Linked DNA regions of Xenopus tropicalis. The protein of the gene in region 2 purifies or fractionates together with the protein of the main gene of each other region. This does not show direct contact. Links are inferred from orthologs where the notes say so. Each region holds a gene or a part of one and is shown on either strand. Other genes may lie near its edges.

Evidence for each region.
Region 1: the proteins of camkv (region 2) and cwc22 purify together in Homo sapiens (affinity purification with mass spectrometry; 3 studies listed by BioGRID and IntAct, counting the BioPlex papers as one, with this or other methods). This does not show direct contact. The link is inferred for Xenopus tropicalis from reciprocal best matches to the Homo sapiens genes CAMKV and CWC22.
Region 3: the proteins of camkv (region 2) and nolc1 purify together in Homo sapiens (affinity purification with mass spectrometry; 3 studies listed by BioGRID and IntAct, counting the BioPlex papers as one, with this or other methods). This does not show direct contact. The link is inferred for Xenopus tropicalis from reciprocal best matches to the Homo sapiens genes CAMKV and NOLC1.
Region 4: the proteins of camkv (region 2) and pnn purify together in Homo sapiens (affinity purification with mass spectrometry; 3 studies listed by BioGRID and IntAct, counting the BioPlex papers as one, with this or other methods). This does not show direct contact. The link is inferred for Xenopus tropicalis from reciprocal best matches to the Homo sapiens genes CAMKV and PNN.
Region 5: the proteins of camkv (region 2) and gpc1 purify together in Homo sapiens (affinity purification with mass spectrometry; 3 studies listed by BioGRID and IntAct, counting the BioPlex papers as one, with this or other methods). This does not show direct contact. The link is inferred for Xenopus tropicalis from reciprocal best matches to the Homo sapiens genes CAMKV and GPC1.
Region 6: the proteins of camkv (region 2) and naf1 purify together in Homo sapiens (affinity purification with mass spectrometry; 3 studies listed by BioGRID and IntAct, with this or other methods). This does not show direct contact. The link is inferred for Xenopus tropicalis from reciprocal best matches to the Homo sapiens genes CAMKV and NAF1.
Region 7: the proteins of camkv (region 2) and gpc4 purify together in Homo sapiens (affinity purification with mass spectrometry; 3 studies listed by BioGRID and IntAct, counting the BioPlex papers as one, with this or other methods). This does not show direct contact. The link is inferred for Xenopus tropicalis from reciprocal best matches to the Homo sapiens genes CAMKV and GPC4.

Annotation. Positions count from the first base shown.
Region 1 is NC_030685.2:63,083,775-63,088,023, reverse strand, and holds the start of cwc22 (pre-mRNA-splicing factor CWC22 homolog), read right to left. Parts: upstream 2,801-4,249; 5' UTR 2,580-2,800; coding exon 2,553-2,579; intron 1-2,552. UniProt on the Homo sapiens protein: Required for pre-mRNA splicing as component of the spliceosome. As a component of the minor spliceosome, involved in the splicing of U12-type introns in pre-mRNAs. Promotes exon-junction complex (EJC) assembly.
Region 2 is NC_030680.2:126,516,771-126,520,928, reverse strand, and holds the start of camkv (caM kinase-like vesicle-associated protein), read right to left. Parts: upstream 2,801-4,158; 5' UTR 2,672-2,800; intron 1-2,671. UniProt on the Homo sapiens protein: Does not appear to have detectable kinase activity.
Region 3 is NC_030683.2:44,081,966-44,085,465, forward strand, and holds part of nolc1 (nucleolar and coiled-body phosphoprotein 1), read right to left. Parts: intron 2,750-3,500; coding exon of another isoform or gene 2,564-2,749; intron 2,340-2,563; coding exon of another isoform or gene 2,175-2,339; intron 1,643-2,174; coding exon 1,502-1,642; intron 1,124-1,501; coding exon 392-1,123; intron 1-391. UniProt on the Homo sapiens protein: Nucleolar protein that acts as a regulator of RNA polymerase I by connecting RNA polymerase I with enzymes responsible for ribosomal processing and modification.
Region 4 is NC_030684.2:104,735,343-104,739,553, forward strand, and holds the start of pnn (pinin), read right to left. Parts: upstream 2,801-4,211; 5' UTR 2,719-2,800; coding exon 2,606-2,718; intron 406-2,605; coding exon 328-405; intron 1-327. Other genes in the region: trappc6b (trafficking protein particle complex subunit 6B), read left to right, coding at 2,997-3,095. UniProt on the Homo sapiens protein: Transcriptional activator binding to the E-box 1 core sequence of the E-cadherin promoter gene; the core-binding sequence is 5'CAGGTG-3'. Capable of reversing CTBP1-mediated transcription repression.
Region 5 is NC_030681.2:127,205,484-127,209,518, reverse strand, and holds the start of gpc1 (glypican-1 precursor), read left to right. Parts: upstream 1-1,235; 5' UTR 1,236-1,708; coding exon 1,709-1,874; intron 1,875-4,035. UniProt on the Homo sapiens protein: Cell surface proteoglycan that bears heparan sulfate. Binds, via the heparan sulfate side chains, alpha-4 (V) collagen and participates in Schwann cell myelination.
Region 6 is NC_030677.2:51,909,520-51,913,714, reverse strand, and holds the start of naf1 (H/ACA ribonucleoprotein complex non-core subunit NAF1), read right to left. Parts: upstream 2,801-4,195; 5' UTR 2,795-2,800; coding exon 2,772-2,794; intron 1,647-2,771; coding exon 1,164-1,646; intron 1-1,163. UniProt on the Homo sapiens protein: RNA-binding protein required for the maturation of box H/ACA snoRNPs complex and ribosome biogenesis.
Region 7 is NC_030684.2:68,008,712-68,012,645, forward strand, and holds the start of gpc4 (glypican-4), read right to left. Parts: upstream 2,801-3,934; 5' UTR 2,502-2,800; coding exon 2,342-2,501; intron 1-2,341. UniProt on the Homo sapiens protein: Cell surface proteoglycan that bears heparan sulfate. May be involved in the development of kidney tubules and of the central nervous system.

The DNA.
Region 1 (4,249 bases), on a different chromosome or scaffold from region 2:
TTGATTCCACCTAAGATATAATTACCCCTTATTGGAGGCAAAACAATCCTATTGCGTTTATTTAACATTTAAATGATTATTAGCATACAAAAAATAAGTAAACCTTTTTTTTCCCCCTCTCTCTCTAAATAAGACTCTATACAGCCCCAGTATAACATCCCTTTCTTTCTGCACTCAGTCCGATGCAGATTCTGTATCACAAGAAGCTCAACCTAAGATTAGGAAGTATCTGAGAGAGCTGAGGTTGAGCTGTTTGTGATACAGAGTCTGCAACAGACAAAGTCATTTTAGGGGCTTTTAAGATAAAAGGCTTACTTCCCCTTTAAGGGTATGGAGATCCAAATTACAGAAATATCCTTTATCAAGAAAACCCCAGATCCTGAGCATTCTGGATAAAAGGGTCCCATACCTGTACATCAGATGTTGTTCTGCTGCAACCACCAAATTCAAGGGGTATCTCTGTGCATATAACTTGTGTCTGCCCTTCTGTCTATTGCTCAGGGAGTAGAAGAGAATCCCTTCACATGCACAGCCAAGCCACTAGTCTGTCCCAAAGCCTGCCAACTAGTTATAAACTTCTACTCTTTTTGTGAGCTATAGATTGCTTCTTTCTATCTCGGGTCTTCATCTACAGAATCCCTACACTCTCCAATAGTGGCCCTGCTCTTCAATACCTGTATATTTTATATTACGTCAAGATTCTAAATACATATATCTGTTTGTGACCGATGTATTTGCCATTTTTATTCCAGAAAATGGCAGATAACCTGACCAGAGTTATCTCCAGCCAAAAAGTATCATTTTTTGCACTAAGAAAATGCAATAACAGGCAACATTGAAGCATAAATGTATCATTTTCATGGGTTTTATCATTAAAACGTTATTTGGAAAGGAAGCAAGAAGCAAGTTTTTTACCTCTTTCTGTTTTCTGACTCTTATAACAATTTGTCAGGTCTCCTTCAGTTCTGTAAATCAGGTGGCTTGCAACATTGTTTTGGGAGTCAGAGCCAGGAGTGAATAGGATGCACCAGCCAAACAGTTACTGATTTTAATAGCAAATACATTTACATAAAAACAGTAACATCACTGACACATTTTAATGAATGTATATTGGAACGTTGCTTAGTATTACATTTGAATACTGTGCTTGCCTGGTGCCTCTTGTAAAAGCTGCAGGCTGCTGTTGTATGACAAACTTCCCTGTGTAAACAAACTCATAATAAATAATCTCTAACACAAGGCCCAGCAGTTTTTGAAACCAGAATCTGCTGCTGCTGCTGGCAGGTGTAACTCAACAAAAGCTGGCAAGTCACATAGAACATCCTGCTCTGACTTAAAGGCCCTTAAATTAACTCCCAAGATGAAGTATACAATGAAAGTGATACACATTGTTGATTTTCTGTGGTTTCAGAGTCATTTAGCCTTTACTAGGGATGCCAGTATTTTGGGATTCGGCAGCCTACAGCAGTGTGAAGACTATAGTGACATCACTAAAATCTCTCTCCCCTTCCTGTAGGTGCCAGCGGCAGCCTTCCTATTCTCTGAGCATGTGTGTAACTTGATCCTGTCTCCTGTTCTGAGCTACACATGCCCACCAGCCAATCAGAAGTGGATCTGCCGGGGGGGGGGAGGGAATGAAACACATGTGCAGTATGATGCAAGGAGGGAAAGGAAGGGGAAATAGGGATGGCTGCCTGTTCTAGAAAATATGAGTAAGTGTAACCAAGTAAATATTTGATTAGGTGAGCCAAAAGTGTGGCGTTTTTACTAAACAATAGGACTACTGGGCAGTATGCTTTTTAAATTTTGACTTGCATTCTCCTTTAATGTCAATCAGAGGCATAATGTATGGTGTGTCAGGAGGCACTGCCTGCATCAGGACCCGCTCTGCAAGCGCTAGATTTATGCAGAGAGAAGAAACCCTGGGGAGTAAGTGCTCTGTAAAGGGACTTACTTGGGTAATAAATAAAATGTTTCCCCGTTTATGCATGGGTAGTTTGGTTCCCTCCCACACTCCAAGAACATACAGCAGGTTAACGGGGTCTCGATAAAATTATTAGGCATGAATTGATAGGGACCTTAGATTGTAAGCTTCTCTGGGGCAGTGACTAATGTGAATACTGCATTATATGTCAAGCGCAGAGGAATGCCTGTGCTATATAAGTAAATAATACATTAATGGCATGGGGCACTGTGGGCAGAAAAAAAACATGGAGCTTTGACCCCCCCCCCCTCTGTCTTTTTTTTTATACAATTTTTCCACCTTTATTAACTGTAGAGACGTCAACCAGTTCCCTGTCATAAGGAAGATAATGATCCTCTGGGAATTTAGTTCCGGCATAGTTTGGACTAAATATCCCGAACTCAAATGTTATGACCCTCAAGGCATTGGGCTGAGTGCCCCACATAAGTTGCTGAACTATAGCTCCCTTGATCCTCAGCGTTAGAGGTTACTGCAAGTTGTAATTTTCCATTCGCTATAGGATCTCAAGCTGAAAGTCCAGGATAAAGCCACTCTGTAACCATAAGGTAAATGTAAGCAGAAAACTTACTTTGACTTGGGCCACGCTACTCTTCATGATACCAAGCTGCCCCCTCCAAAGCTTCTCGGGGAGATCGGAAAATGTAAAGACTTAGAATAAACAACCGCTTGTTGGTCACCGCCACCCAAATCAAATTACATAAAGAACAATCCCGCTTATTGGATTAAACGCACAGTGTTCTATTTACAATACCGCTCACACTGCACGACATAATACACTTCCGGTTTCCCAGCATTCTCTATTCTAGCCAGCGCACAGTGATATGTACGGGAGCCGAGACAGGACAAACGGGACTAAGAGTCGCAAGGAGAAGCTAAAATAGCAGCGTTGGCTGTAATAAGCGGTGTAGCTATATTGCAGTCCTTTACATTTAATCATTTACACAAATAGGCCCTTCTTCCTAGGTACCAGTGTATTTAAAATTAAAGGGACTTTAAACCGCTAAATATTTTTTGTTTAATAAGAGAAAGCTCTTTCCAATACCCATTGTTAAAAAATAAGTGGTAACTGCAGTATTTTCATGTCCATTCTTTGTTGAGTTTCTATTTTACTTGGTGCAGGAAATTCCCTGGGGTGAGGGCCCTGCTAAATAGTAGTCTGATTACTGACGGCAGCCTGTCACCAAGGAACGGACACTTTCCACATCATACACACTTTTTTTTTAGGGCTTCTGTAACATGATGTGAAACACACACGGGTACATTTATCAAAGTACGATTGCTTCCGAATAGTTTTTGTACTGCGCGTATTTTTTGCGACTTTTTCGTACTTTGCAACAATTTGTGCCACAAAATCGTATTTGTCGTAACGAGTACGAAAGTTTCGGATTCATTCAAGCTTCGGTATCATGACTTTCCTTGGGCCAGGTTGGAGCTGCAGAGTGCCATTAAGCCCTATGGGAGACTTTCCTTGGGCCGGGTTGGAGCTGCAGAGTGCCATTGAGCCCTATGGGAGACTTTCCTTGGGCCGGGTTGGAGCTGCAGAGTGCCATTGAGCCCTATGGGAGACTTTCCTTGGGCCGGGTTGGAGCTGCAGAGTGCCATTGAGCCCTATGGGAGACTTTCCTTGGGCCAGGTTGGAGCTGCAGAGTGCCATTGAGCCCTATGGGAGACTTTCCTTGGGCCAGGTTGGAGCTGCAGAGTGCCATTGAGCCCTATGGGAGGCTTTCCTTAGGCCAGGTTGGAGCTGCAGAGTGCCATTGAGCCCTATGGGAGGCTTTCCTTGGGCCAGGTTGGAGCTGCAGAGTGCCATTGAGTCCTATGAGAGGCTTCCAAAATCATGCACAGAAGGATCAAAGCCATTTACAATCATTCGGATATGAAAATTTAGTCACTTTCGGATCGCCGATACAATATTATCGTGACTAATACGATTTTTTCGTAAGCATTTTCGTGACATTTCCGATCATGAGAAATTATTGTATCTAATCTGAATTATACCCATTTCGAGATTTGAACTCATGCTTTGATGAATCAGCCCCATAGGGGCACATTTATCGAAGCACGATGACCACGATTGCAAAAAAATTTGTATTGTTGTAAAGTTTAGAACTTTTTGTAATGACCACGAAAATATCGGTACAATTACGCGACTTATTCGGGTTTTGCATAAATTTTTATGCAAAAGTCATATTTTTCGCAATGATTACAAACATTTCGGAATTCATTCAAGCTTGGGTATCGTGACTTTCTTTTGGCCAAGTTGGA
Region 2 (4,158 bases):
CTCACATAACTTTTTTTCAGCCGTTGAAGAGATACACTCTGTGCACTTGGGGAAATTATTCTCCTTCTATTATCCTTCTCCTTTTTACCGTTTGCTTTAAAGTCAATATAAATTTTGTTAAAGTTTTCTATAACCCTCCAATCCCAACACCAGGAATTATGGAGAATGAGTGGCAGCTTCTTAGATGAGAAATGTAGCACAATCACAATCTTATACAACGCCGAGCAATTTTTTGATACATAACAACCCATCCAAGCATACTTAGTAGTGGTTCAAAATAACCTTAAACCCTGCAGCCCAATCCTCTGACATACCCAGTGATCTGCTAGTACTTACAGAAACCTTATTACTAAGGGAGCTTGTTGGGAAAACTTTTATGATATAAACTGTGGCCCTCTGAGCCGTTTTTGTTATAACCTGGAAGAGGCAATAGGCGTGCAATAATAGACCATGCACGCAGATCAATATCATGGCTTGCAGGCAAATCTTTCAGCACAAAAGCAGAGATATATATTCTAGAATGTCACTGCATGCAGAATAATTTGATGTATCAAACCATTATGTACCACTATATTATGTATGGAGCCCTGCTAATGCTGATGGACTACAGGTTGGCAGGGGGTGCTGGGACACTATGAGGGCCACATATTGGGCATACCTGGTGTATTACACACACAAGTACTTTGTTCTGCAGTAGAGAACAGTGGCACCCAGATCAGTGCAACATATGGAAACCAGATATTATATAATGCAGAGCAATCACAATGAAACAGAAGAACATACACACATTATAAATAAATGATTATAGAGTGAGCATGTAAATAAGAGAGCTAACATAGATAACAGATAAGACTAATAAATTGCCTGAAGATACATTACATAGCATGCCGGGCTATGTTTTACACACCAAACAACATAATTATTTAATAATTATATAATAATTATATATATAATATGATTGAGATATACCAGACAATTAGCAAACACCGAGGGAAATTTTACGAAACAGAGCAATTTTGAAACTCCCAGGGTGATACAAAGGCACACAGAGCAATGCAGAGCGCAGAGCAGCCTTGTCTCATGCAGAGTTAACTAATAGCATGCAGAGCCGCTTTCTGTGTCACAGAGCAACTGTATATTTGCCAGAGAGACTGTACATCATGCTGGGAGAGGCAATGCGGCTCAGTTACGGCACTAAAGGGATTGAAGTCAGGTTAGAGAGGCTGCACACATGCTGGCGGCAGGTGGGACCTATCGGAGCCAAAGCTCAGCTAGAAAGCATTTGGCTGCTTGTAAATATTCTTGATTAAACAAAATAAGCTGGAAAAAATGGCATCACACATTCAAAGGAACTTTGCCCTACGATATTCAGAGACTGAATTGAATTAATACTAGGGGCAACTATTAGGAATGGAGCAAAGGGGGTTTGTGGCTTCCAGACAGCCGCTAGGGGCAATTAGATTGCCAGAAGCAGTGGAGAAAATAAGTGGCTACTTAGCCAGGAAAGGGAGAGCGGAGGTCTCCCCCAGGAGAGAAGACCTAATTCCTTCACAAATCTGTCTGAAACACTTTGCTGGTAGGTGACAAAAATCTGTGCCAAAATAGCATCTCTAGTTAGGAGGGGAGACAAAAATACCCTTCTGCACAGGGAGCATTAACCCTTACAGGGTCAGTTAGAAATCTAACATATATCTATATGTAGTACTACTACATACAACCACTGTCATTGCCAACATAACATAACATGACTGAGGATCCTTATGGGCACAATATACAGGAAAATGAAGAGTTGGGGATACTTATGAGCATGGTACTGAGGAAAAGTGATGAGTTGAGGATCATTATGGGAATGGTACTGGGGGAGTGATGAGCTGGGATCATTATGGGAATGGTTTGGGTGAGTGATGAGCTGGGATCATTATGGGACTGGTACTGGGGAGTGATGAGCTGGGATCATTATGGCACTAAGGAAAGTGATGAGCATGGTACTGAAGAAAGTGATGAGCTGGGATCATTATGGGCATGGTACTGATGTGGGAGAGGACTTGTGTATTATTATCAGCACATTACTATGGGGGGTGATGATTTGGGGATCATTATGGGCATGGTACTGATGTGGGAGAGGACTTGTGTATTATTATCGGCACATTACTATGGGGCAGGGGTTCAGCCAAGGTTCCCTACCCCTGCTATGGGGGGTGGTGATTTGGGGATCATTATGGGCATGGTACTGATGTGGGAGAAGACTTGTGTATTATTATGGGCACATTACTATGGGGGTGATGATTTGGGGATCATTATGGGCATGGTACTGATGTGGGAGAGGACTTGTGTATTATTATGGGCACATTACTAAGGGGGGGGTGATAATTTGGGGATCATTATGGACATGCTGCAGAGAGGAGATATGCTACACTATGGACATGCTACATACAGGGGTGATGATCTCAGTATCATTATGGCATGGTACTGGGGGTTAATAGTTAATCATCAACAGAGTTGCAGGTAAAGGTGCCATCAGATTCGACTCATCAGAGCTTTCATGGATAAATGAAGCCTCTCCTGATGTTGTTCTACTGCAACTACAACACCCACCACAGCCGCTACTGCCAGATTCAGTTAAAAAGCAGCGGAGGCCACAAGTTGCCCATTTCCAAAGCAGCTCCCTTACCTTTAGTATGTAGTGGCTCCTCCTGGAAGAATGTAAAGCGTCTGTATTGAGTACGAATGCTGAGTTCCACAGCAGCAGCCCGGGCTTTCTTTCCTTTCCACTCGCAGGCAGATGAGTCGGATCGCAGAGAGATCAGGGCGATGCTGCGTTCTCCATGTGGTCTCCTCCACTTAAACCCCTTGTGAAACTTACAGCTTGGAACTGACACACAGACACGCCCACTCAGGGCGGAGGCGGGGCACCTGATAGCATCACCGGCAAACTTTAAGCACCGCCCTCTAGTGTGCGTCTTACGGTGATGGAGATTGTGGGTACCAAATCCCTACAGCTGCTCTACATAGCGCTTATTCCGTGTTGTTCCCTAGCCCTGCCCTGGGTAACTGACTAGATTTATACTTACAGGAGTCAGGCGTGCTGGATGAGGGGAGGGTAGGCATGGATAGGGGGGCAGGTAGGCATGGTTAGGGGGCAGGTAGGCATGGCTAGGGGGCAGGTAGGCATGGCTAGGGTGGCAAGTATCAGCCAACCCATGCCCGGCCACTAGCCATAAATAAAGGGTTTCTGCTAGCCAGAAAAGTAAGAATTAAGGTATGTGGGCTTATATGCTGACTTGCTTGCCTGTTTGAATCAGAGCTAACCTTTTGTCTTTTTTGTTGCTTTAGGTTTTGCAGCTAAGAGAAGGCTGCATAAGAGATATAAAGCAAGCTCCCAGCTACAACAGGAAAGCAACCAGCGAAGTGCAGGATCCATTCAGGCAGAAAAATAGTCCCACCCTAAAGGTGCCCATACACGTTAAGATTTGCTCTCTTGGCTAGATCGCCAAGCGAGCGATTCTTCACCCAATATCCCCACCTACTGTATGTGTGGTGATATCTGGGAGCGTGTAGGCTAATTCGATCGTTTGGCCCTGGGGCCAAATGATCAAATTATATTGGTGGCAATGGGGCAGTCGATCTGACTAGATTTTCTAACCTGCCCGATCAAGATCTGCCCGATTTCAGGCCAGATATTGGTCGGGCAGGCCCGTCGGTAGTCCCCATACATGGGCCGATTAGCTGCCAAATCGGTCTAAGGGACCGAGATCGGCAGCTAGAATTGGCCCATTTATGGGGACCTTAAAGGTTACTTCTAGGACCCCCTGGTGTCAAGTAAGGAGGCCAAGGTGAAAGCCCAACCATAAAAAGTCCTTAGGGTGAAGACACACAGAGCTACTTGTCACTGCTACTAAACACCAGAAAATACCCTGCCATAGACAATACACAGAATTGCCTCTGCTAAAACACATGTAGAGACAATTATTAGTAAATGATCAGCATTGTCTGTTTCTGTAGCCATGACAAGTAGCTGCTACTAGTAGCTCTGTGTGTCTTTACCCTTATGGCTAACATAATAGGTTGCAGTATTGGTGTCAAATGCAGGAGAGCCAGAGAGGCCATGGCACCCCGAAATAATTGTTTGATCAGAGTGGCTGATTTGCATTGTGTACA
Region 3 (3,500 bases), on a different chromosome or scaffold from region 2:
ATGACAAATGGAATGTATTTGGCAAATATCCCCAAGGTTTCCTTTTACGTTAGGCTAGGGTCACCCAGTGCAGCCCTATCTCATGTTCTGGGTTAGGAGCTACCTAGCAGCACCAGATATGGGTGGGTGGCAGTGAACCCTATCAGTTTAGTAAGGGATCAGCTGATGTGCTGAACTGACACATACCATACTCCTGTCGAGAGCCAGTATATTTGATAACCTGTCATATCGGTGAACCTTTTATAAGTGATAACTGGTGTTACTTTGGACATGTCTCCAGTGTTCCCCTGACAGCATTTCAGATGGAACTTCTCCATTTGGCAAAGAACAACTGCATGTGCAAATGAACACAATTTCTAAAGAATTTAATGCTGCAAAATATAAACCATACCGTTAGCTTTTTCTTCATCCTCACTGGAAGAACTTTCCTCAGAACTCTCAGCAGCTGCTTTAGGAGTGGAATTTGCTGTTTTGGGAGTAGAGATATTCTTTCCTTTTTGCTTTTCATCTTCAGAATCAGAACTCTCACTGCTGCTTTCTTTTTTAGGAGCAGGTTTTGCTTTGGGAGTAACTGGGGATTTAGAAATAGCAGTATTTGTTTTTGTAGCCTTTAAGTCATCATCTTCTGAGCTACTGTCTTCAGAACTGCTATCTGCAGCTTTCTTTGGAGCTGGCTTTGTGGCCTTTGCTCCTTGCTTCACATCCTTTGCTGCTGGTGGTTGTTTAGGTTTTTGTTTTTCGTCATCGCTGGAACTGTCTGATGAGGAGCTGCTGCTGGCCTTTGCCTTATTAACAGCCACTGGGCTCTTCTTTGGAGGAACAGTAGCCTTAGCAGCTGGGGATTTCCCAGTAGTTTGCTTGCTTTTCCCCTCCTCTTCGCTGCTTGAATCAGTGCTGTTAGCCTTAGAAGGTTTTTTGTTTTGAACTTGGACCTTGGGGGTAACTGGTGTTGTAGCTTTGGCTGGTGGCTTTGCGGGTTTTGTTTTCTTCTTAGAATCTGAATCACTGGAACTGCTGTCAGAGCTGCTTTCTGCTTTCTTGGAAGGCAGAGACTTTACTGCTGGGGACGGCTTATTAAGTGGCTTAGTAGTTTTCGTGGTCTCCTCTTCTGAGCTATCAGAGTCTAAAAGACATTATAGAACAACATGTTAAACTGATAAACAGATGCTGCTGCTGCACAAAACAAGGTAAATAATTCCTAGCATAGTACATGTATACGAGTGCAAGATTGTTTTACTTAAATGAAAAGCAAATTATTAAATAAGAATCGTTTATTTAAACAACATACCACTATTTTGGCTCTGAATAACAGATACCTGTATTACTTAGAATTAATTTTCCTTTAAGAACCTTACCTATAATCTGCCTATAGAGCACACTTGGACTTATATATTCCCACTGCCTATAGAGCACACTTGGACTTATACATCTGCCTATAGAGCACACTTGGACTTATACATTCCCACTGCAAACAACCCACTCAGACAAAACCAAGCCATACCAGAGTCTGAAGAGCTGGAAGCCTTCTTTGCAGGAACAGACTTTGCAGCAGCAGAAGCATCTGTCTTGGAAGCAGCTTTCCCATGTGTAGTCTTAACTCCTGGCTTTGCAGAGGATTTCTTTTCATCTTCACTGCTGGAATCTACACAAAATAAGATCCCATAAGGGTAAGATCAGGCTAAAATGGTCACTGCAGCAAAGTTAAAGAAATCTATTAGGACATAGTAAGATTGCAAATACCAATCATTCCAGACGTGTGTCTTTTTAAAGACTACTGTAAATCGCAAACACAACTGATGGGTTACCATCCTTAAAAAATTGCCTTAAAATAGTTATGGATACATATTTCATGGTCATTCTCAAAAATGCTAAGTTCCAAGCAGGCAATACTGAACTATATGGAAAGAATAAGGCAGTTATACAGAGTAGTTTATGCAGATGAATTATCTTGATTAACTACTCAAATTTAACTCCTCAACAGCTGGAAGGTCTATGAAACACTGGCTGCTTTACTAAACATGTCATAACAGAATGCTTTATTCTGAATAAAATATCCCTGTTATATAAAAATACTAATAAGAGGTCAGGAACACTGGGCTCCTTAACTGTAAAAATAACCATTTCAGAACCTATATAATTTAAACATTCTCAATTTTAACTGAGAGTGCAGATACCTGAGCTATCTGAAGAACTGGATTCTTTCTTAGTTGGAGCTTTCTTGCCTGGGGTGGTTTTAGCAGCAGGCTTGGCAGGAGTGGTTTTAGCAGCAGGCTTGGCAGGAGTGGTTTTAGCAGCAGGTTTGGCAGGGGTTTTCTTCTCATCTTCATCACTGCTTGAGTCTTAAGTTAATTACATAGTTAAAGTTTAGCATGCCTGTTACTGTACATTTGGTACAATGCTGACAAAATACCTCCTATATGCCACCTACCACACAAAGCTTGGCCTTAAGGTTTTATTAAATAAACCCCAGCATGACTACAATTTGAAAGGTTTCCTTTTAACTCCCCTGTTTTCATTCTATAAAGTATGCAAGCTTCTATTATATACCTGTTTTTCCACTTACCACTGCTGTCTGAGGAGCTTGAATCCTTTTTGGAAGTTTTGGGGGTTCCTTGTTTTGCAGGCAAGGTCTTTGATGTTGGTGTTGCTTTGCTAGTTGTGGGTGTTTTGGAAGTTGGTGTAGCAGCACTCTTTGCAGGAGTAATTTTTGTGGAAGGTTTAGGTGTAGTCTCTTCATCACTGCTAGAGTCTACATCGTGTGGAAGATAACATGTCAAACAATGAAGCAAACAACGTTTAAAAGAACTACATGTGATAGAAGTCAGATTTGGGACCTAATTTATGCATTAAATATTCAAGAAAGATTAAAAGGGAAGTTCACCTTTAGAGAATACTTGCAATATAGCTGTAATTGCCTTAATCATTATTTTTGCAACTGGGCCTTCGCATTTACACCAGTTTACTACAATATTGATGCAGAAATATTAAGGGTCAGGCATAATGCCTTAGTGCATTACTGAGCTTGCCCTGTATCTTACTAAATTATTTACACAAAATTAACAATTTTAGCATTTAAAAATAAGGATTTTTGTATGGGAGATGGAACTGCATTATTTCAGGGTCTCTCAATAATAGATAACATATTTACAAAAGATACGGTTTTAAAAAAGTGCTAGGTGTAGCCACCATTATCTAAAGCAAACAGTTTTTCTGGCTTCCATGCTCTAGGTTTGAAGAAGTACATAGTTGTTGACACAACATAGTTGACACACTGGTGATTTAAGCTGCATTAAGTAAGATGTGACTAGATTTTCATGCAACTGAAAGTAACTTTTTTGTTTTTTTACTTAATACTTAACATAACTAGAGCACGGACAAGTCCCATTTGTTTTTTTGCATTTCTTAACGTTTCTCACATTTTATTTTTGGCCCTGAAAATCCTCCTATAGATCCCACCAAGAAGAATACGTCCCTCTTGCCACCAACCCTCTTCAAGAATT
Region 4 (4,211 bases), on a different chromosome or scaffold from region 2:
GTATGTTCAAGCTCAAGTCATATTCATTCAGTTAATGTTAAAAAGGGGTGTATACTGACAAGTGGGGGGTGGGGCGCTTAGGTATAACCAGTGATTCTAGTCTGTAACCTGTTACCACGTTCCGGTGCTCATCTTTTTCAAAGGGGGTGCGCCTAACAACTTGGCCCCCAGTAATGTTACCATGACCTGATAGGCTAAGCATCTAAGTACAACAGAAGTGCACAAATCTTTACTGTGAATATTCAAAATGGCAAACTGGAACAGGCACAACAAACAGTTCACTTAAGTAATAAACAACGATTTTAAATATGTCAATGAGTTTCATACCTTAGTAAAATCCCACCGCGGCCTCTACCTCCAACTACATTAGGACCTGTGAGGGACAGTCGTCTTGCTTGTGCAGGCCTGAAACAAATTAGGAACACTGATTCAGTTTTCACAGAAAATGTATGCACCAATCAATAAAAGGATTATTACTATAAACGTAGAGTTGAAAGGTATACGATCAGCAGCCAAAGAAAGTGAAACTAACTTACCAGAGATAGTAAGAAAAAAGCAGGATGCTAAAAACATGTAAGTATACCCAGTGTATAATACACAATTAACATTTCTAAATTATTATTTGCATCACTAAGAGCTGAATATCAGCATTTGCATTGCAGAAAGATTTCCTTTCCCTTCCAGAGGTGGATCCACATTAACAAACTGGCACAAATAATATTTTATATTATTGCTGTCTACACATGCTTCTTCCAAAGTAGCTGATGTTCAGCAATTGTCAAAAAAAAAAAAAAAAGTGATTCTAGCAAAGTCTGACACTTGCTCTTAATGCTCAACAAAAACAACACACTGAAAATCTGTTTGAGACACAAATATAAAAGACCCAAGATCTGAGGTGCTAGAGAATGCAAGGTAACCACTATGAAGACCCATCATATTTGTGTCATATGTATAACAGAAACCTAGTTAGGATCCTACACAAAACAGCCAGTTCACATATGTGCTTTTGTTTAAAGGAACAGTAACACCAAAAAATGAAAGTGTATAAAAGTAACTAAAATATAATGTGCTGCTGCCCTGCACTGGTAAACATTGTGTGTTTACTTCAGAAAGTCTGCTATAGTTTATATAAATAAGCTGCTATGTAGCCATGGGGGCAGCCATTCAAAGGAGAAAAGGCACAGGCACATAGCAGATAACAGATAAAACACTATTGTATTCTACAGAACTTATCTGTTATCTGCTATGTAACCTGTGCCTTTTCTCCTTTTTTCCAGCTTGAATGGCTGCCCCCGTGGCTACACAGCAGCTTATTAAATAAATTATAGTAGTGTTACTGTAGCAAACACACCAGATTTACCAGTGCAGGGCAACAGTGCATTATATATTTATTACTTTAAAGCTCTTTTATTTTTTGGTGTTACTGTTCCTTTAAAGGGCCAGTAACATCAAAAAGTAAAAATATTTTTATACATTCAACGTTTGATCTGAAAACTATTACTTGGCAACAAATTACCCTATTGTATGTGAGAAGGGTTTTAAGCACTATCTTTACCCTAACTTTTAGTATGTTATAGAATGTCCTATTCTTAGCAACTTTTAAACAGATTTTAATTACTTGCCTTACTCTTCTGCTTATTTCCAGTGGGGGGGGGGGGGGGGTGTCCACTGGCCCCAGAAGTAGCCTGGTTGCTAAGGTAAATAAGACCCCAGTAACCACATATCTGAACAAAAAGCTCTAATTGAAAAGCCACAACAAATGAAAACCTATTGCAAATTGTCTCAGAATATAAATGCCTACTATACCAAATGTTAATTTAAATGTAAACTGCCCCTTTAATTCTATAGTATTGTTTAATGCCATGAAAGGCATTTGACCCCTTATTTTTCTACTTGTGTAAGAACTGCACTCATTGTACTCTACAAAGTTTATTGATCTGCTGTAGGAGCCCTTTTGCCTTGTTCAACTTGAGCGGCTGCCACCATGGCTCCACTGCAGTCTGCTTTACAAACACTACTACTGTATAAACAAACAGTTGGGAGGAAGTGCAGATGCCTGATAGGCTGGGCTGCAATTTAAATGTAGTACCACAAGTCCCATAGCTATATATAGACACATTTGCTTTTATATCTGTATAGGGAAGCCTGGTCTCGGCACAATCAATTTAGAAAGGGAAATAGGGATTGGAGCCCTTTGTTGTAATATGTGTAAAATACTGTAGTAAAATAAAATAGTTCCGCAACAAAAACATAGTTTCCCCGCGTCCGCAGATGATTGCCTCAGCGTTAAAGCCCATTCACTGCCTAATAAGCACTATGTAAGCCACACAGGGCTACACAGGCAGAACCATTCATTAAACACAATGCTGCAGCACGGCCTGCGAGTTTGCACAAATGATAAAGAAGCCCATCAGCCTTGCGTATTCTCACGAATTAGCTGCAGCCTAAGGCCGATATCGCCTGCACGCAGGCCCTTCTGGAAGTTTGTATGAGGGCAGTGGCCTGTATAATGCTTCATACACCATGCCTGCCATGCGGCGCAACCCAACCAGGAACCAGAGCGGAACCTTAATACCACAACACATGCATTAATCCTGGAACCCACCTAGTCTCATTCGGGTCCCGGCCAGTCAATTTCCGTATGTTTTCGTCGACATTTTTTAGGCTCTCTTTTGCTTTTTCCAACTGCTCTTGCAGAGTTCGCACAGCCACCGCCATTTTCTCCGCCCTAATCGCGCGTCTCAATCACTTCCGGGTCGTTGAACAAACTAATCAAGAGCCAGCAGCCAGCGCACTGAAAGTCCTAAAGCGGAAGTGGAACGTAACATTGCGGACCCGTGGGGGGAAGGGGGCGGGGCGATAATGTTAACTAATTACAGGGAAGAGTCGTGCAATGGGCTTTGCTGTCAGAGATTTGCCCTGGAACCAATAGTAATTTGCTGTTTTTTTTTCCACCCCGAATCTTCGCCCAATCAGAGATAGAGATTGCTGTAGGCATGAACAAGCAGGATATGGCTGATGAAGCCCTCTTTTTGCTTCTGCACAATGAGGTTATATCCTGTGTGTATAAAGCCGGCGGTGACCAGGGGGATGCGGTAAGTCAGTGTCGAATTAGAAAGGGGTATGTATGGGGAGTGGCTGCACAGGGGCTGACAGCATTCACCATAATTGCAACGTACAGCAAAGCAGAACATACGAGTAGGTGCCCCTTACTGGACTTCTAGCTGGTTTGGACCACAACTCCCTGTGATTCAGTATAGGCTTTGGTATTTGAAGTACACAGAGCCCTTATCAGCCTCCATAGACCCATTAAATAGTGACTGCTAATGGCATCTTAAAGTAGCAAAATCCACCAAATGCCAGTATGGCTGTGCCTCAGAGCTACTATAAATGGTGCCAGACAGCACAGAAATCACCTGAACTAACTTTCTGATAAGAAATTGTCAGCGTTTTGCTCTGCCTTTTGTCCATTAGAAAACATACAATTGTAAAAGTCTATAGGGGTATATTTATCATGCTGTGTAAAAAGTGGAGTAAAGCATTAAAAGTGATGTTGCTCATAGCAGCCAATCAGATGCTTTGCTTTGGTTTTCTAACTGTTGAAATCTAATTTCTGATTGCCCTGGGCATCATCACCGGTGATGTTTCACTCCATTTTTTACACAGCATGATAAATATACCCCTATGTGTTCCTGTGGTGGAACCTGTCAGCTGACTCATGTGCAAATGCAAGCTTCAATGTTAAAGAAGTTTTTTTTTATTGGAAACTTACTGTGTAATAGATTACTCTCAGGTAAAAAATGTGTGTTTGCTTCAGGAAATCTAGGGTGCTAACACACAGTCCCCCCTGGAAAAAAAAAAGCAGCACCTATATTTTCCTAGCGGCGATTTACACCCTTGCTGGTAGAAAAGCAAGGTAGAGGAGATTAGTTGCCACTGCTAGAGGAGGCTAATTGGGGGGCACTAATCTCCTTGTGTCATCTGCCCTACAGTTTATATAAGTAAGGGAGGTGGCAAACGGCACGATTAGTCGCCGCCATAAATCTTTACTGCCAGAGGTGACTTATCTCCCTGAAATGCCATTCTACTGACAGGAATGTAAATCACTGGTGGGATGGCATACGGTCACTTTGGTTTTATGAAGTCGGTGAAGTTCCTCACAAGAAAACTTTGGGCGAATTTCAGAAAACCTAAGCTATGTGTATGCCATT
Region 5 (4,035 bases), on a different chromosome or scaffold from region 2:
TATCATCTATCTATCTATCATCTATCTATCTATCTATCTATCATCTATCATCTATCTATCATCTATCTATCTATCATCTATCTATCTATCTATCTATCTATCTATCTATCATCTATCATCTATCATCTATCTATCATCTATCTATCTATCATCTATCTATCTATCTATCTATCATCTATCTATCATCTATCTATCTATCTATCATCTATCATCTATCTATCATCTATCTATCTATCTATCATCTATCTATCTATCTATCTATCTATCTATCTATCTATCATATATCTATCTATCTATCTATCATCTATCTATCTATCTATCTATCTATCATCTATCTATCATCTATCTATCTATCTATCTATCTATCTATCTATCTGTCTATCTATCATCTATCTATCTATCTATCTATCTATCTATCTATCTATCATCTATCTATCTATCTATCTATCTATCTATCTATCTATCATCTATCTATCTATCTATCATCTATCTATCTATCTATCTATCTATCTATCTATCATCTATCTATCTATCTATGTATCATCTATCAATCTATCTAATCACATATTTCATCCTTTGTACAAATGCACACACCCCAGCAGTCCCCACCCCCGTTTCAGTCTGTCCCAAGCAGCCAATCAGCGTGTGAGTAGAGCGCAGCCTGTGTCTGTGCCTGCTATTGGCTGCGGGCCCATGCTGGGAGTCAGTCCGCACAGGAGTAGCGGGGGAGGCGGCACAGAGCTGCGCTCGGCGAGCATCCCGGTTGCCCATAGCGGTATAAGCCTGACAGCAGGAGAAGCAGGCGGGCACTGTGGGGTCACACGGGGGAGCCCCGGGAATGCTGTCTGCCTAACGTTTCATGCAATAAAGCTGTCAGTGCGACTGGTCCCTGCGATAGTAGCATCTGTGCGAGTGGCTGAGAGCAGCAGGATGGGGATGCGTGTTGCGGCGTGATACAGAGCGTATTGACAGGCGGATCCATTACAAAGGGATCGTTTAGCCCCAATGTTAGAAGGTCAGCAGTTGCACCGAGTCGCTCTCCCCGCCGGCAGGTAGCGGTGCCCCCAGGCATCTCGGTATAAGGACAACACCCAGCAGCTTCCAGCCGACATGAGCAGCTTGTGTGGAGCAGCAATCAGCCTGCACCCCCTGCCGTGTCACTGACAGGCAGCCCCCTCAGCCCCCTCAGCCCGCACTGCTCCCAAGGATCCGACACCGAACCCAGCTCTGCCCCAACCGAACCCAACCCGCTGCCCCAGCTTGCCCCAAGCCTGACAGTGCTGGCCCCAGGCTGAGCCCGGCTGAGTGGCTCCCAGTGACCCTCTGACAGCAGTGCAGGTGGGATCCAATTCAGTTCCAGTACCAGCTTTGCTGCATTGTCCTGCTTTGTGCTTTGTTCTCTTTTGGTCTAAGCCCATTATCTACAGAAGGATCCATACCTTGGGCATGCCCTACCCCAGTTTTGCTGCATCATCTCCATCTAGGGGCTTTTGTGTGCCCCCCCTGACATATGAATGCCCCCCTCAGCGGAGGTGCTAGCCGGTGCCTCTGTTCTTTGCTCTGAGGTGCCACAAGGGACAAAGGATAAGCTGTAAGTTATTGGCTTGACTCCTGGACTGTTTATGTGGCTTCCTCTACCCTTGTGTCTTCTTCAAAACTCTCCTTTCTGTATTTGCTGGGCTCATACGCCAACCCATCCACAAAGGTAATGGAGCGGCTCTGCTGGGGTTGGTGGTGGCATCTTGGCATTTTGTGCCTTATGCACTGGGCAGCTGGAGACACTGGAAGTAAAACCAAAAGCTGCAGTGAGGTGAAGCAGGTGTACCTGGCTAAGGGCTTCAGCCTGAATGGAGCGCCACAATCGGAAATCTCAGGTGAGTTGGTCTGTTAGAGTATGGGCATGACCCAGGGACTTCCCAGAAGGGCATTTCAGCTGAGAGTCTAAACAGATATCTCTGGTCACTTCTTGTAGAGTCTCAGATTATCTTATAAGGCAGGGCAGTTGCTTTATATATCCAGGCTAGATCTAGGGGAAAAGGCAGCCCCTGGCCATGAAGGAAGCCTGCATACCTAACATGAACTACTCTCCTGCAGTGTGGGGTGTTATTCCTGGTGTGTATACTGTAAATACCCCTCAGACAGTTGTTACACAGTTAAATCTGTCCATTCTACTTGTATCTCCATTCTCCCCACAAGGGGCCCCTCGGGAGCCCTGGCTAAATGCTCTTTCCTCCCGGCTCCTGTGATTCAGCAGTGCTGGCTTTCCAGTGAAGCCCCCATAGACACGCAGGTGGGGTAGCGCTGTGTGTGCAAGCGCTGTTGCATATGGGGCTGGAATCTAGCAATGATAATAGTTAGTTTGAATGGGCAAATACCAGCAAGTAGGATGTGTCATGGTAAAGGGGTGCCTTGAGTCAAAAGAAATGAATTGCTGGGCATTAGTTATGTATTGTTGATGTTTCAGATGTCCCTTAGGGACACAGAATCCACAATTGCTTGATCATGCTGAAAATGCTACTAAATTGCTATGGGATTGAACATGCTTTTTGGGGTGCTAGTGGCCTGGATTGTCAGCTCTGCAGGCCACAAATAAATGACTTATTGGCAGAACCAACAATCCTTAATAGCTAAATCAACACTTTATATTTCCCGCTGTTGTTAAGAGATTATTCCTAAAAGGATTTGGGGCTAGTGCTGTTATACAGTGTATGTTTGTAAGGAAATAATAATAAAAAAAACACATACAAGAGTATTGTAGAAATGATACCTATATTGGCTAACAATAAAAATACATTGCAAGTTATCAGAGCTCCGAAAGCTTGCAATGTATTATTGTTAGCCAATATAGGTATCATTTCTACAATACTCTTGTATTTGTGTTTTTTCTTCTTATTTTTGACACTGGCTAACACGGCACTACAGTTTTTATTTAAGGAAATAAAGCATCACCGTATTCAGGGAAGCCAAATACCTCTTGTGCCAAATTCCATAGACACATATAAATGGACTCAGTATTAGGAAAAATGTTTGACTCAGTGCTTTTATTCGTTCTCTCCTCACATACAATATATTAAATCTATATCTCTATGTGTGTGTATTGTAATTGATACCATCTCTGAGTGCCGCTACCTGCACTGTAACTTTATCTTGTCGCTCAGATGTTGCTTGTTGCGCTTCCATGCTCAGGTGTGAATATGTTCTAGGGCACTGCCCAATAGATGTAGCACCCTGCAGGAGTGGATTAGAATGTTATATCCTTTGTACTCTGGGTTCTTGCTACTTACTGTACCCTTTGTACTCTTTGTACTGTGTACATTGTGCGGCACCAGTGTGTTTCCTATAGAAGAGATAATAGACATTTCCTTTGGAAAAGTATTTAGACCCCTCATCAATTATTTCATTACTGAGTAAGAAATACTGTGCAATACTGGCACTCAATGTTAGTTTTCAAATATTAGTGTTCATTTACAAAGGGAATAAAACTGCAGCAAAATACCATGTCTTAGCCCACAGTATTCGCTGTTCCCCCTTGTGCCTAATGCCTGCCATCGGCACAGGGTTCCACAATTTCATATTTTATAGAGCCACCTACTGCAACTATGCCAGCATTAAGGCTTTAGAATGTACTAGCTTTGCACACTATTCAGGAGGGATTTTGGCCCATTCTCCCAGGCATATTTGCCCCAGGCTGTTCAGGTTAGCTGGATAGTAAAATAGCAGATGTGGTTGAAAAACAAAATGTGCACAGGTTTAAAATGCGAGCACAAAAGAAGTGTTATGTGCCCATAGCCGAAAAGGAATTAGTAGGATCAATTTTGATGTGCAAATCCCTATTTTTTTAAATTAAAATGCAGTGTTTTACCCAGAATTCCAGGGTACTGTAATTGCACCCACCTGTAGTGCTGACTGCAAATGGCATACAATGTGGCAATAGGGGAGTGAATCAGCGGTGGCTGTTGAATAGTGCATAAGCTGCGGTGCACAGTATCAGAGATGGCATCATATCCTGCGTGCCCGTGCCCATGGTATCAATAT
Region 6 (4,195 bases), on a different chromosome or scaffold from region 2:
GATAAGTTCTGTAGAATACAATAGTGTTTTATCTGTTATCTGCTATGTAACCTGTGCCTTTTCTCCTTTTTTCCAGCTGGAATGGCTGCCCCCGTGGCTACACAGCAGCTTATTATATAAATTATAGTAGTGTTACTGTAGCAAACACAACAGTGCATTATATTTTTATTACTTTAAACCTCTTTCATTTTTTGGTGTCACTGTTCCTTTAAATGACAGGATTATCATGAATTAGCAACAACTCTTCAACTCCAAGCAAAGATGTGCCTTTACTAGCTCTAACTAATACATGTGCAGTCAGGTTTACCAGATTATATAGACAAGTTTATTTGAGTTTCATATGCAGATGCAGATGCAGTCTAGGCTTAAGACGGTTACTAAAGAGCACAGGGACTTAACATGCTATGGTCAGCCAACCAGAATAAGCCCCACAGAAGAATAAATGTTTCACGCAATCGCATCTTGGCATTGAAAGAACAGTGCATTTACAGGTTAAAGTTTAACTATTCCAGGGCAAGATAAAATCTAGTAGAAAATTAAACAATTGGGGTTTACATGTCATTTAACTTCAGTAATCTGTCATTCTTGCCAGTTTTAAAGCACACTCACAGTAGCTGGCAATGGGTAAAGTTTCCCAGATATTCTCTAAAAAATATCTTTATATAATTTACTGGGAATTCAAGACATTTAATTTAGGTTTAAACCATATACTATGTAGGTGGTACGTGAGGAAAAAAGATGCTTCTCATAGTAACACAGCAGTACAGTGTATATTAATATTAAATTACCCAACCCGCGGCAATATACAATACCTTATCTACTGAAGCAGCTCTAGATAACGTATTACAATATAACACCATGTGCTCTTAATAGCCAAAATTTAAGTGTTCAAATCAGTGCTAACATACAGTTAGAGAGCCGCCTTCCTCTACCTAATCCTGTGTATATTTATATCTAACTCCCTAACGAGTTGGCGCTCTTATATATAAGAAACCAAACCTTAATTTGTGTTAATAAAAAATAAAAATTAATTTTTAATAAATGCAAATTAAGGTTTGGTTTCTTATATATAAGAACACCAACTTGTTAGGTAGTTACAGCAGTACAGTCTTCAAGTGTGAACTTATGATTAGAGGGCACATAATAAAATCCAAAGCTTTTACCTATCAGAACTAGAGTCCTCAGAAGAGTTTTCTTTTGTTTCATCATTATCTTCTGCTGTTTGATCATTCTCCCCATCAGAGACTTGTTTGCAACTCATTTCTGCTGCTATTTCCTTCTCCATAGAATTATTGGTATCTGTGCAATTGTTTTTAAAATTAAGGCTTTCCAACTGAACAGTCACTTCCATACGTTCTTCTTGGTCTTGATGACATGTTGAATTTTGATCCAAGGCAGTTGTACCCACAGCTTCAGATATTTCCAACTCGGGAGCAACAACTTTCTCCTGTTCATCAGTATTTGAAAAACTGTCATTTTGGTGTATTTTTTCAGCTGATTGTGAGGCAATATCAAAGCCATCATTAACTACAGAATATATGCAGTTGTCCATAATTTCTGGTTCACAAATAGGAAAATGATTGCCCTCTATAACACTGTCAGTTGACTGAGTTCCACGTTGTGTTTCCATGACAACATGTAAAAAACTAAAAAAAAAAAAGATATACAAAAACAGTTACAGCCCACAGTAGTAATAGTTAATAATGCAGTAAAAATAAAGTTTGACAATAATAAAGTTCTTCCAACAGACATTTTTGACGTGCTGATCCATTCATCCCACCTAGTGGATATGAAAAAAAGTTGGGGCCCCATACAAGTTATTCATGCATGGGCACAAGTGCCCAGTACCAAATTTTCAGCCGTGCTCCTTGTTTGTGCAATATAAACAGCTGATGTTACTTTATAATTAAGCAATTTGAAAAGAGTTTTATTGATTAATTTGCTAATAAGCCATTCAGTTTATTGGGGGTCAATTGAGTTTGTCCTAAGTTTAACGCTTTCCCACCTACCTGGGGGTCAGTGGAGTTTATATGTAAGTTTCATTGAAAGTATTGTACATTTTTGCACAAGCTGTAATATCACCCACTGTGACCTACAGCACTTATATTTGTCTATTTGTGTCTGTTAGTTACCCCTCCCATATAGATTGTAAGCTCTACGGGGCAGGGACCTCCTTCCTCTTGTGTCCTCGACTCTTAACTTATATGTAAGTTGCTGTATTTATTGTTATACTTTGTATTTATCTATTATCTTATTAACCCCCTGTTTGTATTAATGTATTCTACTGTACAGCGCTGCGTACATAATGTGCAAATAAGCCAGACAGTTTATTTGGGGGTAGTGGAATATACCTAAAGTGTTTTAATTTATTGGCGATCAATGATTTCCCTTTTCTCTGTAATAATTAAACAGTAGCTTGTACTTGATTAAATGATTTTCAGAAGACTTAAGGCATGGTGATCCAAACTGCAGAAAGAGTCTGTATCTGGAAAAGTCCAGCATTCTGGATAATAGATCCTATACCTGTAAAGATTCTGTAATGTATTTGAACCTGTATTATTTATGGAATACAAACCCAATGCCTTTATCCACTGATACAAAAGCATACACCTTTATAGTAATTACATAATTCAAACTTAAATGCGTGTAATCTTTCTCTGGCCATAAAATACTTTCATTGCAATTTTATCACATGCTTAAATAGCGCACTAAAGTGGTAAATGCATTCCTAAGACAAACATAAAAGGAATATATACATATTACTGCCTGACCAGTTTTCGGGCATTTCTAACATCCCTAAAAGACGGGCTCCCCAGGAATATGTGGGTCGCTTTTTGCATCTTAACTGCGATGCAGCAGGTCTATGCTACAAAATGCTTCTCTGGCTATTCGTCAGCAATTCATATGATAAACCGCCCAATGGTCCCGCTTTTTTTCCAATTTTCTTTTACAGCCCACAGTCCCAGATCATACTTACACATTCCACACAACTGTTAATTACACGCTGCTTCCCTCATGTCTTACAGAAAACCCCGACGCGCTATGATGGCGTCACAAGTACACATGTGCGCGGTAATGCGCCTGCGCAGCCTTGTTGGAGTGACGTGCAGACACTGTGTAACTCAGCAATACACTGACAATCCTAAACTGCTAGAAAGTGGCAGTAGTAGGTTTGCTACCAGTCTGGTTTTTTTTTCTTCTCGAAACTGCTACTTTTGTTAGAACAGAAAATATGGAAATAACTTTTCTTTCGTGTTGGTTGCCAGCCAGTAATTTAGTTGCCAACCAGTAATAATGGTTACGAACAATACCTTCAGTTATTGGAGACTATTCTCACAATTTAATCATGAAAGAAGGAGTTCCAAGGGGCTGATTTACTAACCCACGAATCCAAATTGGATAACGAACATTTTGCGACTTTTTTGTATTTTTTGCAATTTTTTCGTCGCCGTTACGACTTTTCGTAAATTGTCGCGACTTTTTCGTAACCATTACGACTTCCGCGAATTGTCGCGACTTTTTCGTAGCCATTACGATTTGCTCGTATCTTGTCGCGACTTTTTTGTATTGAGCGCTCGTAAACTCCGGGCAAAACTTTCAGACTTTGCATGATTTTGAAGCCTCCCATAGGACTCAATGGCACTCTGCCGCTCCAACCCGGCCCAAGGAAAGCCTCCCATAGGGCTCAATGGCACTCTGCAGCTCCAACCTGGCCCAAGGAAAGTCTCCCATAGGGCTCAATGGCACTCTGCAGCTCCAACCTGGCCCAAGGAAAGTCTCCCATAGGGCTCAATGGCACTCTGCAGCTCCAACCCGGCCCAAGGAAAGTCTCCCATAGGGCTCAATGGCACTCTGCAGCTCCAACCTGGCCCAAGGAAAGTCTCCCATAGGGCTCAATGGCACTCTGCAGCTCCAACCTGGCCCAAGGAAAGTCTCCCATAGGGCTCAATGGCACTCTGCAGCTCTAACCCGGCCCAAGGAAAGTCTCCCATAGGGCTCAATGGCACTCTGCAGCTCCAACCTGGCCCAAGGAAAGTCTCCCATAGGGCTCAATGGCACTCTGCAGCTCCAACCTGGCCCAAGGAAAGTCTCCCATAGGGCTCAATGGCACTCTGCAGCTCCAACCCGGCCCAAGGAAAGTCTCCCATAGGGCTCAATGGCACTCTGCAGCTCCAACCTGGCCCAAGGAAAGTCT
Region 7 (3,934 bases), on a different chromosome or scaffold from region 2:
CTGATTTCAATACTCTATTAAGTCAACTCGAAAATTTTCAAACTAGTTTGATGGACAACACACACACAGCCATAATTATACAAAAATTTGTATAAAACTCTATTGGTAAGTCGGCTTTATACTAGAGAGGACTAGGGATACTAATACAATCACATCAAATAGTGCAACATAAAAACTGTATGTATTTCTGCAGACCAAGGAGAAAGAACAAACTTACACAACTCACTTCCTGCTGGGATTTACTTTATAGATAAGAAGAGTTCTGGCAAGGGAACAGAGATATCAGGGGGTAAGCTAACCAATACCACCAGAAAGATTAGCTTGCTGAAAGGAGAGAAAATATAGTTTCCATAAAGACTTGTGCCATTGACCAATAAGGCACCAACAATTACAGGTTGATCTGCTATATAGTTACTCAAAATATAGTTACATTGGTCCTGGATTGCTGCTTTATGCAAATGGAAAAAACATTGGAATAAAGAGGAAAAAAATGTGTTTGTACAAAGTCAGTGTGTCATCATGACACAAAATCTATTTTCCCAGTGCACCATGCCCAACATGTAAACATATCGTGCTGCTTACGCTAAGCATTTACAGGACATGCATACAGTGCTGCTTTAGAAAATGATCTAAAAAATACTCTTGTAAATAAAAAGAAATTATTATTCATAGGGCAGGTATTTGGGCTTCACAGGCTAAGCAGTTCCATGATCACAGAATGCTGGGGATAAAAGGGTTAAGAGCGAGTCTAACAATAACGCAGTAAAACAAACAGAAAATAAGCCTTTGCCATATGGGAGAGTGACCATGTAGCATGAAACCCTGCAGCTGGGTTATTTGTCAGACTCTGAACCCAACCAGAGATCACCAGATTAGCTGACTTTTGAACTCTTGGTGGCTAAAAGGGAGTTGTGCCTTTACTTTGACATATTCATTTAAGGGACAATATTACATCTACAGCCCTTGGACTAGAACAGCTTTGTTTAATAAACCCACAAATAGGTGTCAGGTCTCTCCTTCCTGCCAATGGTCGGGGGCAAGAACGTCACTCACAGGGTTTCAGTCTCCCATCCCATGAGCAACACTAAATGCTTTATTGCTCAACAATCGCCTCTGCTGAGGTACTAAAACTCCCAGGATCCTCAAGAGGATAAAACTGCTGGGAGTGTCAACTTGAGTATCCCTGGACCATATAATATAGTTGTTACCATTGAAAATAAAAGGCTAAATCAATTTTACAAAAAAAAAAAAAAAAAAAACAACTTCCCCAGGGCACGAAAAAGCATCTACACAGAAAAAAAGTCATATAGACAACAGTCATTAAATTATGGATACATTTTTCTTTTCTTGCTACCATGGACCCCTCAGGCTGATATGAGTCCAACCTCTGGCCCTTTGACTGCTGATGAATTACAATTCCCATTATAGCAGAAGAACCCTCAGTTTCCTGGATTAGTTGGAATTTGCAACTCAGCAAAAGCTGTAGGGTGCTTTCCTACCAGACAATGTTAATTCAATATTATGGCACAAGAAATAAAAAGTGGGGGAGGGGACATAAGCAGACACTAACAGACGTCCTTGCCCGTAGAGCTTACAATCTTATGAACACGTGGGGACATGCAGGAATGTCAGCCAGTAAGTCCCTCAATAAATCAGAGAGGCAGTTGTCTGATTTCCTGAGTGTGATTCACTGCGGAGCTGCCCCCAGGGCTCAGCGCATAGGCAGCTCCTTACCTGGCCCCTGGAGCAGGGAGGGGGCGCTTAACTTTCACCTTTTCCGCCTTGCCATATTGTTTCCTACCCCGACAGAGTGGCACAAAGTAAATGCGCTAATACTTAGGGCTATAACTTGTGGGGGGGGAAGAGTCAGAAAGGCTAAACACCGGTATACACAGTCACCAGACTGCTCCCACGCTCGGATGATGCTTTGTTCAGAAGTTACTGGCCGGTAAAATCATAAAATAATCATTAGTGACCACTGGGGGCAGTGTTGCATTGGACTCTACGGAGGAGTTAACGTGAAAGTAATGGACAGCCTCAGCCAATATAAAGCCAGAGAAATGAGACGAAACGTAAATCATACTAGCATTTTAATCAATATTACAACAAATGTCTATGCGTGCAGAGCCGCATGTTTTCTTTTATCCCCTCCGGCAACAAATCGACTCGGTCCAACATGTGGCCCTCCAGCTGCTGTTTAACTACAAATCCCGTACGCCCCAGGAGACTTGGCGTGTCGGGGACGCTGGGAGCTGTAGTCCATATGGTCAGAGGCCACAGGTTGGATCGACCGGACAGAGTAAGTGCTAAATCCGTAAATCCCCGGCGCTTTGTCACTCACCATTGATTTCGTGGGTCGGCGCATCGTTCTGGTTGAAGCCCTTGGAAATGTACAGTCTCCGAACCTCCGAACAACTTTTGGACTTGAGATCTGCCCCGACGGGGAGACTGAATAGCGCTAAAGTGCAAGCGAGCAGGGGGTAGAAGGAGATCCAGACCATGGTGAGGCAGGCACTGCAGGGGAATGAATGCGATCGGCACGGAGCTTGATGACTGGCCGCACAGATTACTCCGGCTCCCGGGGGTGGCTCTGTGTCCGGGGAACTTTGCAAAGTGCTGAGAATCCCCTAGTTCTGCCCCTGCTGCTGCCGCCTCCTGACTGATTGGCCGGAGGGCTGCGCTCTGCTCACTTGTCCCCCCTCCCTCCTCCAGCCAGAGTCTAGGAACTGGAGCAAGGAGCGCATGTGTAGCCGGAGCCTGGGCGCACCAGCATGGAATGCAGAGCCAGGGGGCGGAGCTCAGGGCTCCCAGCTGTTAACCCCTGCGGCGGCTTCTCTCTGCCGGCTCCACAATCGCAGCACTGTCTGTTTTTCAACATTTGCGTCTGCGTTTGCCCACAACAGTCTGGGAAATTGAGATGATTGGTATTGTTATTCTTCTTAAAGATTACACATATAACGCTGTATAATCTATGTAGTAGAACGCTCAGACTATGGAAACTGAAATTGAACAATTACAAATAATAGAACAAGCAGATATCCAGCTATAAGCTCACAGGGTCTTACCTGTAAGATATCCATTCTTGGGTGTTATTATTAGTGGTATTATTATAAATAATATAATAACTTGTGAGATTACACAAAATATTAGTTGAGTGACTTTAGTGACAATTTTAGAAGTAGGGTGATATAGATTTTGAGTGGGCACTTGATACTGGCAGATGTAGAAATGAGAAATACTTAAGGGAATTGGTTATTTGCAAGAAATAAATCAGACTTTTCCTTCTCTTTCAGCACATGCTGGGGCCAAGCTAGGCCTGACTTCCCTAGGGTACAATGTGTACCACCAGAAAAAAAAGATGATTGGGAATACAGACTCAAAAGGCATTTTAAAGGCTTTCATGCAGGTATAAGATATTTGTGCATTTTAAAAGTTTTTAATGCTTTTTGAATGCACTGTAAACACTAAATACAGTTAAAATAAAAAGTAATTAGACTAGGCCATATGAGCATTCATTCACATGTTTCGGTTCCTTGCGTTCTTTAAAATCTTTTCTAATGGCAGCAGGCGAGATTTTCTGGGACATCATACAAGTGTATAGCAACAGTATTTGCACTGTACAGGCACAGTTTGTATTTATCAATAAGTAAAGTCAATTTTGGTGGTAAGCAAGTGTACAACATATGTTTTGATGTAGTAAATGTGTCCTTTATTATGGTATAATACTATGGGAGTCTGCTGGTTTGCTGTCCCAACTGCTTTTGCATTGCTTGCAACCATATTGTGTTATGTGCCTTTAAGTGCTCATTTCCTAAACTTCTTACTAAAGGTGCTTATTATTCAGCACTGCTATCCTGTACTTGTTGTCCTCACACACAGTATTGATTTGCAAATGCCTCTGCAACTTTAGTCTATTTACTTCTGAAATGTATTT